2 linked regions of the Coturnix japonica genome follow. The protein of the gene in region 1 interacts with the protein of each later gene in a pairwise test. Links are inferred from orthologs where the notes say so. Each region holds a gene or a part of one and is shown on either strand. Other genes may lie near its edges. The genes, in order: VPS33B and VIPAS39.

Region 1 (4,594 bases):
TGGCCCAAAATCCACACTCCCTACAGGGAAAGATAAAGAGCTGCAATACCACAGAGTGAATCACAACAACAGAATGGTTTGAGTTGGAAAGACCTTAAAGGCCTCGTTACAAACCACCAGCCATAGGCAGGGATACTGCCCACTAGACCAGGCTGCCCAAGACCTCATCCAGATTTATAAGCACATTTAAGGACGGGTCATCCGCAGCCTTTCTAGGCAGCCCATGCCAGGGCCTCGCTGCCCTCATAGACAAGAAGTCCTTCCTAATGTCTAATCTTAACCTACTCTCTAAGGTTAAAGCTCCTACCGTGTGCTCCACCACCATGTGCCCCTTTAAAAAATGCCCCTCTTTCTTACAAGCCCCTTCTCACATACTGCAAAGCTGCAATAAGGTCTCCCCAGATCTGCTTTGCCCCAGCACTAGTGACATCCCTGCAGAGATAAGTAACGCTTACTCTGCTGTTTGTTCAAACAGATCTTCAGCACTGTCCCATGCCAGGACCAAGCACAAACCTCAGGAGAGCCCCATGTCTCCCCATCACTGATGCCACCACTTACCGCACTTGATGCGGAAGGTGTCATCCACCAGCCCCTCGTACACCACCTGGGAGCACAGCGCTGTGACGTAGTCAATGTCTGCAATGAGAGGGTCCTCATTTACTGCCCATGCAGTTCCCCCTGCCAGGCCCAGCCCTGCTGCCTCTCGCTCCAGCCAGTGCCAGCCCTTACCTCTGTCCATGAGGAAGATGTTCCCAATCTCTGCCTTTCTCCCCTGCCCATCACTCTCGCTCTCCTCCTCCAGGTCTCGCCACAGCTCGTAGCACATCTGTGAGGGGAAAACTGTGCCAATGCCTGTGACAGGGCAGCCCTCGGTCCTCTAAGAGCTGCAGCCACAGCTGGGGCTGGGTGTCAGCGCAGTCCCCAGCCATGCAGGGGGTGCTGTTGCAGCTCCCACTGTGCAGCCTCAGCTCAGGCACAGTGAGTGAATGGGGCACTCCACCAACCTTCATTCCAGAGGTGAGAGCAGGGCATAAGCCCTACCATACCCACCTTGGCACACCTCCCAATCCCATAAGCCCTGTTGAATGGCCCATACAGGGAGTTCAGCAGCTGCAGGGCTCGAGCAACTGAGTTGATCCAGCGGTGATCTCCCTCCTGTAGGGAGCACAGCAGCATTAATACGTGGTTCTGTGCAGGCTGGACTGGAAATAACTGCGTGCACTGGGGGCCTCAATCAGACACAAAGAGAGGCTGGGGGTCGGTGGGCTCGGTGCCACTCCACACGCATAGAAACAGGCTGGGTGCCCAATGCCGCTCAGGAGGAGCCACCACAGCACGTCCGAGTGGCTGCCCCAAGCAAAATCCTCCCCAAGGCAGCAGGCAGCGGCCTGCAGTGCGGGCTGGGAGGCCCGAGCAGGACATCCTGAACAAAGCCCTCCCCTGGGCCCAGAGACAAGCAACAGAAGGGCAGCCATCCCACAGGCAGAACGCAGCAGACCATCCCTACTGACCAAGAAATAGTCCCGGAAGAACTCAGGCAGCTCCATACTGATGATATCTTCATCCAGGGGGAGCAAGTAGAAGGACCATTCATCACAGGTGACATCTGAGCGCGGGACAGGAAAAGGCAGCGGTCAGCCCCAGGAATCCCAGCAGCTCCTCACGCTGAGGAGGCAAACACAGATGGGTCCCCTCCAGGGGGACTCATCCTTTCCTCTGCCCAGGCGGGGGCAGAACTGCTGCTCCTCTCATTAGATCCCGGTACTGGGGATGTGTCGGTCATTGTGCTGCGAGGGAACAATGTGGGACACCACAGTCCTACTCACCACCATAGACACCCTCTTCCTCCAGCACCATCTCACAGGCGTAGAACTGCAAAACAAGACAGGATCCTCAGTCACGCTCCACCAGAGGCAGGGAAACAGCTCCCTGTAGTGGACAGGATGATCTTCTGCCCAGACACAGCACCTGACTTCAGCACAGCAGCTCTGCTAAAGAAACAGCTTCCAATTGACAGGGTCAGGGCAGGGCACGGGGCAGAGCAGCACTGACCTTCTGGGGGCTGAAGATGATCTTGTATTTGCGGCTCCTTCCTGACATCTTGTCAGCATTGACGATGTCTACAAACGACACGTGCAGACCCTGTAAGCGCCGCCCAGCCCCGAACAGCCGCAGTTTGTGGTGCAGGATGGGGGCTGGGCACCGGGGCAGGAAGGACCCGGGAGCGGGGCCGTGGTGCAGCCCAGGAGCAGCGGCCGCTGCTGGGGGTGCGGTCAGTGCGGCGCGGGGTGACACACCCGGCACATCCCGACCCGCTGCTCCAGCGATGGGTCGGGCGCTCACCTGCGATGTATCGCATGGTCCGGACCCGCGGCCGCACGAGGAAACAGAGCCTGGGGACAGTGCGACGGGGTGAGAGTGAGACAGAGACGGGACTGACCGAGACGGGACTGACCGAGACGGGACTGACCGAGACGGGACTGACCGACGGCCGGCACCGACTGAGAGCAGCGGCAGCCCCGCCCCGAGTCCCGGCGCGTCCCGGTGTTTCCACTCACTGGTCGCTGGCGCCGGGTCCCGGCCGCGTCTCCACCCGGTACAGCTTGTCCACCTCGTGCTGCTGCGGGGCATCGCGCGGGGCCGTCAGCGGGCGGCACCGGCGGCACCGAGCGCGGCCCCGGCCCCCGCGGTACCTTCAGCACCGACACGTTGGCGATTCGGTCCAGGGGACTCATCAGGTCGGGCTCGATGAACAGATCCTTCCTGCCGGGCAGCTGCGGGCGGGGCTCGGTGGGACGGAGCCGGGAAACCCCCCGCCCGGACCCGACCCCCCCCCGGAGCCGCCCCCGGCCCGTAACGGCGCCCCCCGCCCGACCTGCTCCAGCAGGTGGATGAGCTGGTCCCGGGCCAGGCGCTTCAGGATCCCGAAATCGGGCGGGTCGGGAGCGTCGCGCCGGGAGGAGCCGGACACGGACACGGACATGGCGGAGCGGGACACGAAGGGACCGGAACGGAACTGCGGGAACCGGGGAGCGACGGAACATAAACAGTGAGGGACTCACGCGCCGGAAGCGCTGATGTCACGTGACCGCGCGCCGGAAGTGCCCGCAGCGACCGGGAAGGAGACGAGAAACGGCCCCGTTCAAAGCGTTTATTGCCCCGTTCGTTCATCGCCCCGTTCGTTCATCGCCCCGTTCGTTCATCGCCCCGTTCGTTTATTGCCCCGTTCGTTCATCGCCCCGTTCCCGTTCCCACCCCTCGCTCCTCCAGCAGTTCCTGTAGCGCCGTTTCCATGGCCGGGCTCGTCCCGCGCAGCCCTTCCAGCACTTCCGCCGTCCACCGGAAGTACTCCTGCACGCGCTCCTCGGACCACCCTGCGGGGACACGCGCTGCGTCACTTCCGGTGCCGGTCGGTACCGGGCGTTTCCGGGATCGGTGTGTTCGGACCTTGTGGCACGTGCCGCCGGATGTCCCGGATGTTGTGCAGTTTATCGGCCAGTTTCACCAGCTTTGCCCGCTCGCTGCTCCCCGCCGCCATTTCCACCTGCCGCCGTTTCCGCTCCGCTTTGGGCAGCGCTTTGTCGTCCGTCAGCTCCTGCACCACGTGACGCACGTCGGGCCCGAAGCGCCGCTCGATCTCGGGCAGCGTCGTGTCCGTGTCCTCAACCGTGTCGTGCAGCAGCGCGGCCTGACGGGACCGGGACGGGGACACGGGATATGGGATACGGGGACACGGGACCGGGACGGGGGACGTGGGGATACGGGACACAGTGTCGGGGTATGGGGACATGGGGACACGGGACCCGGTGTCGGTCCGTCCGGTCGGTCCGGTCCCCCCGGTGCGGCCCCGCGGCCGGTACCTGCAGCACCACGATGTCGGTGACTCCCGCCTCGTGCGCCAGGATCCGCGCCACGCCTGGAACGGGACACAGCGGGGGGGGGGTCAGGGCACGTTCCGCGTCACGGCCGGACCGGGCGGGTCAGGGCGGCGCGGCCGCACCGATGGGGTGGTTGATGTACGGGGTCCCCGCCGGGTCCTTCCGCCGCTGCTCCCGGTGCTTCCAGGCCGCGAACTCCGCCGCGTCCAGCAGCCGCGCCACGTCCGACGCCATGTCGGTACCGCGGGCTGCGCCGGCGCGACGGGAAACGCGCAAATAAACGTCCAACGCTTTATTGCGGCCCGCCCCGCCCCCGCGGCACGCGGTACAACAACGAACCGTCCGGGCCGCGCACCTCGGTGCCGCCGTGCGGAGCCGGGTCCGGCCCCGGTTGCTGCGGGGCGGCGCGCAGCGCTCGCGCGTCCTGTCGCAGGCGGCGGCGCGGGGGGACGCAGCTCCGGCTCCGCAGCACCCGGTGAACCACGTCCAGGCTGACGCCGAAGCCCTCGGCCAGGCGCTGCGGCGGCCACTCCTCGGGCAGCTCCTGCCGCAGGAACCTGCGGGCACGGACCGATCACCGATCACCGCTCCGTTACCGCTCCGTTACCGCTCCGTTACCGCTCCATCCCGGCCCGGCCCCTCACCGCATCTGTTCCATCGCCTCCCAGGTCAACGTCCGCTCGGGGGCGCCGCGTCCCGCTCCCAGCTCCCGCCGC
Region 2 (2,957 bases), on another chromosome or scaffold:
ATCAAGCCCCACAATGACACCAAGCTCAGGGAAAAGTCAGCATGAGGATGAGGAAGCACTGCATTCTACACACTGGGCTTGGGATTAGTAGGCACAGCCTGCTGTACTTTGCTCCTAACCTACCACAGGTGAGGTATCCAGGACCCAAGCTTGGGGAATGCAGGTGAGATTTATTCTTGGGCTTAATCATATTCCTCCAAGGACATGTTCAGCTTTGCCTGCTGCTCCGTTGTAAAAAACACAACCAGCAACAACCCAGCAATTCCTGGCCTGGGGCACATGGATAAGCCCGGCAGAAAGCACTGCCCTAACCAGCAGCATCCTGGCTGTGTTAGGAAGAAAGGCACCAACAAGACAAAGATGGTCCATCCTCTGCACCCAGAGCTGTGTGTCCCATTCTGGACACTTCAGTGCAAGAGAGGCACAAACATATTAGAGTCTAGCAAAGGGACTAAGGGACTGTAGCAACTTTGAGAGGCTGAGAGCCACGACTGGTCAGCCTGAAAAGGCTCAGGGCAAGACTCATCAAGGCATGAAAAGAAACTTAGATGCTCATTAATGGTGCTCTGTGACAGAATGAGACAGTGGGCTCAAATCAAAACATGTGAGATTCTATATGAGCACAATACTTTTTTATTTATTGTTTCAACAGTGAGGATGGTCAAATACAGGAACAGATTAAATTAGGCTGAGGAGCCAGTATCTCCAACTGTGAGACACTGAAACTGGAGACAGTCCTAGTCCTGGTCCACCTGCTTCAGATGACTATTCCTAAGCAGAGGGAGCAGACAGATGATCATGAAATCCCTTCCAACCTAAACATGCCTATGATTCTGTGGGGAAAGAAAGCCAACAAAAAACAAGAGTGATTATAGAAACTGAGAGCGCACTTGGTGCACAGTGCAGCAGGGATGCTGGAGCCACACCTGCCCTCAGGTGTACATGGCTGTACATGGCCTTCAGCTCTGTGTGAGCACCTCCAAGGCAGCAAATGGTCTTGAAACACTGAAATGAGTTAATCTGTAGCGTGTAGGTGTGAAATAACACACTGCTGCAGGCAAGGCTTCTTCACAGTGATACTGTGCATTTCAGGGTATGATAAAACACCCTGCATACTCACTTTGATGGAGGTGCGACAAATTACTCGGGATCAGCACAGAGCTGCAAAGTGCATAATGTGGGAAGGAAATAAACAGCCTGAGGAGAAAGAGAGAGCTTTATTTAAGGAATTGAAGAGAAGTCTGGAAGGATGAAACCAGCAGTTGCCTGAGGAGCTTTGTCTCTGAGAAAGTGCAATTCAGTCCTTCCTGGGATCATCAGGTTTGTGCTGAGAATGGTCCCTTCTTGCTCTGACCAGCTCCATACATCACGCCCACTCTTCTCTGATGAAGGGATCTGCCGAGAGCTGCCAAGTGCCAGCATAGGGATACTGGCAGATGCTGCTGCACCAGCTCTCTGTGGGAGTTCATAAAACACCTCTTTCTCTGGTGTGAGCCACAACAATCCAAAGGCTTCAAGGTGCAGCTGACCCTTTCCCCCTCCACTCTCTGATGCAGGGAGAACGCAGTCCAGTAGGCCTTGTCACCCACAGCCATGACTGGTGATGCCCAAGCCAGCCTGAATGTTACAGGGACTGGTCAGTCAGCATTGTCTACTGGAGATCCATCAGTGACTGATCTGTTCCTCTTACTAGAATGAGCCCAGACACCACAATAAGCAAACATAACTTTGCCTGGTCCAGCAACTTCCCTCTGTAAACAAAAGCCATGACTGTCCTACAAACAGGTCAAAGAGAATCAGATTCCAAAAAGAATCAACCCTCATTGATTGATACCACGGTTTCACTGGCTGCATCAGAGCAGTTGCCTTCAACCAGCCTGAATACTTCAGTGCCACGAGCACCCAGTGTCACTGACAAACACTGATCATGCAATGAGTAGTAACAGAGTTGCTCTGTTGATGCTGGACCAGCTTTTACAGTTTCCTTTTGTACTGGCAAGGTAACGGCCAAGCAGGTTGCTTCACTGGTGCTCAGTTCTTCCACCGGATTTGCTAAAAGAGAGAACAAAGTATGACTAACATCAGACTGATCACAGTTCACTTCAGGCTGAATTAGCAAGGCCCAGACCATGAAAAGGGCAACCATGGCAATAAGCTGCTACTTCTATCAGCATCACCCTTCGTTCTTGGACTGAATGCAACCCCAAACATAACATTAACTTCCCAGCAGAGAGAAAAGGATGTAGGAGTTATGTCCTTACTGCACTCTCAGCCTACGGCTGCCTTCGATAAGATCCTAAAAAAAGTAGGTGCTTCTTACCATGTTATTGAGTAGGCTGTTTATCTTCTCTTCTTCTGCAGAGCCCCGCTCCACCTTGCATTTATATGCCATCAGCTGGATGCGATCCTTTAGATCCCTGTACGTCTAGACAAACAACAAAACCAGCATCCAGTGAGGAAGACACTTCATCACAGTTAGATGGTGCCCTGTAGATGAGCAGGTGTCAACATCTCAACCTCCCTTCAAGTTCCAATCAATAGCTTAGGTCTGCAGAGTCCATTTGCACAAGCAGACAGGCCTGGGCACAGCACAAACTCTAGGAGTCACGCTCCTGGCTCACTTAGCTTTCACTAAGAACAATATGCTGTTCCCAAGCCACAGGAATAAGAAAACTCCTCAAGGTGCATGACAGAAGAGTGACATGGGAAAGTTAGGGAGAAAAAACAGGCTTTTGTCTCCTTTCTTCATACACACAGCAAAGACTTACATCAATCACAACATCATGGCACTTGTATTTGGTGGCAAGGTTCAACCGTGTTTCCACATCCTCTACTAAGCGCACATATTCTTGCAACACCTGCAAGGGAAAGAAGACAGTCAGTTCCCTTTTGCAGGTACTTCCTGCCTCATTCTTTCACACCAATCACAAAATCTTTCTAGGGCACTGCTTACACAG

The links.
Region 2: the proteins of VPS33B (region 1) and VIPAS39 interact in binary tests that used the Homo sapiens proteins (3 or more experiments, as listed by UniProt). The link is inferred for Coturnix japonica from reciprocal best matches to the Homo sapiens genes VPS33B and VIPAS39.

Annotation. Positions count from the first base shown.
Region 1 is NC_029525.1:18,204,479-18,209,072, reverse strand, and holds the start of VPS33B (vacuolar protein sorting-associated protein 33B), read right to left. Parts: upstream 3,037-4,594; 5' UTR 2,984-3,036; coding exon 2,876-2,983; intron 2,775-2,875; coding exon 2,694-2,774; intron 2,621-2,693; coding exon 2,559-2,620; intron 2,528-2,558; exon of another isoform or gene 2,471-2,527; intron 2,394-2,470; coding exon 2,344-2,393; intron 2,121-2,343; coding exon 2,053-2,120; intron 1,873-2,052; coding exon 1,827-1,872; intron 1,607-1,826; coding exon 1,512-1,606; intron 1,156-1,511; coding exon 1,051-1,155; intron 827-1,050; coding exon 730-826; intron 637-729; coding exon 559-636; intron 21-558; coding exon 1-20. Other genes in the region: HDDC3 (guanosine-3',5'-bis(diphosphate) 3'-pyrophosphohydrolase MESH1), read right to left, coding at 3,232-3,374, 3,448-3,688, 3,861-3,916, 4,001-4,112; tubulin polyglutamylase TTLL6, read right to left, coding at 4,548-4,594. UniProt on the Homo sapiens protein: May play a role in vesicle-mediated protein trafficking to lysosomal compartments and in membrane docking/fusion reactions of late endosomes/lysosomes.
Region 2 is NC_029520.1:35,566,847-35,569,803, forward strand, and holds the end of VIPAS39 (spermatogenesis-defective protein 39 homolog), read right to left. Parts: intron 2,859-2,957; coding exon 2,769-2,858; intron 2,426-2,768; coding exon 2,321-2,425; intron 2,053-2,320; coding exon 2,032-2,052; 3' UTR 1,596-2,031; coding exon of another isoform or gene 1,530-1,595; 3' UTR 616-1,529; downstream 1-615.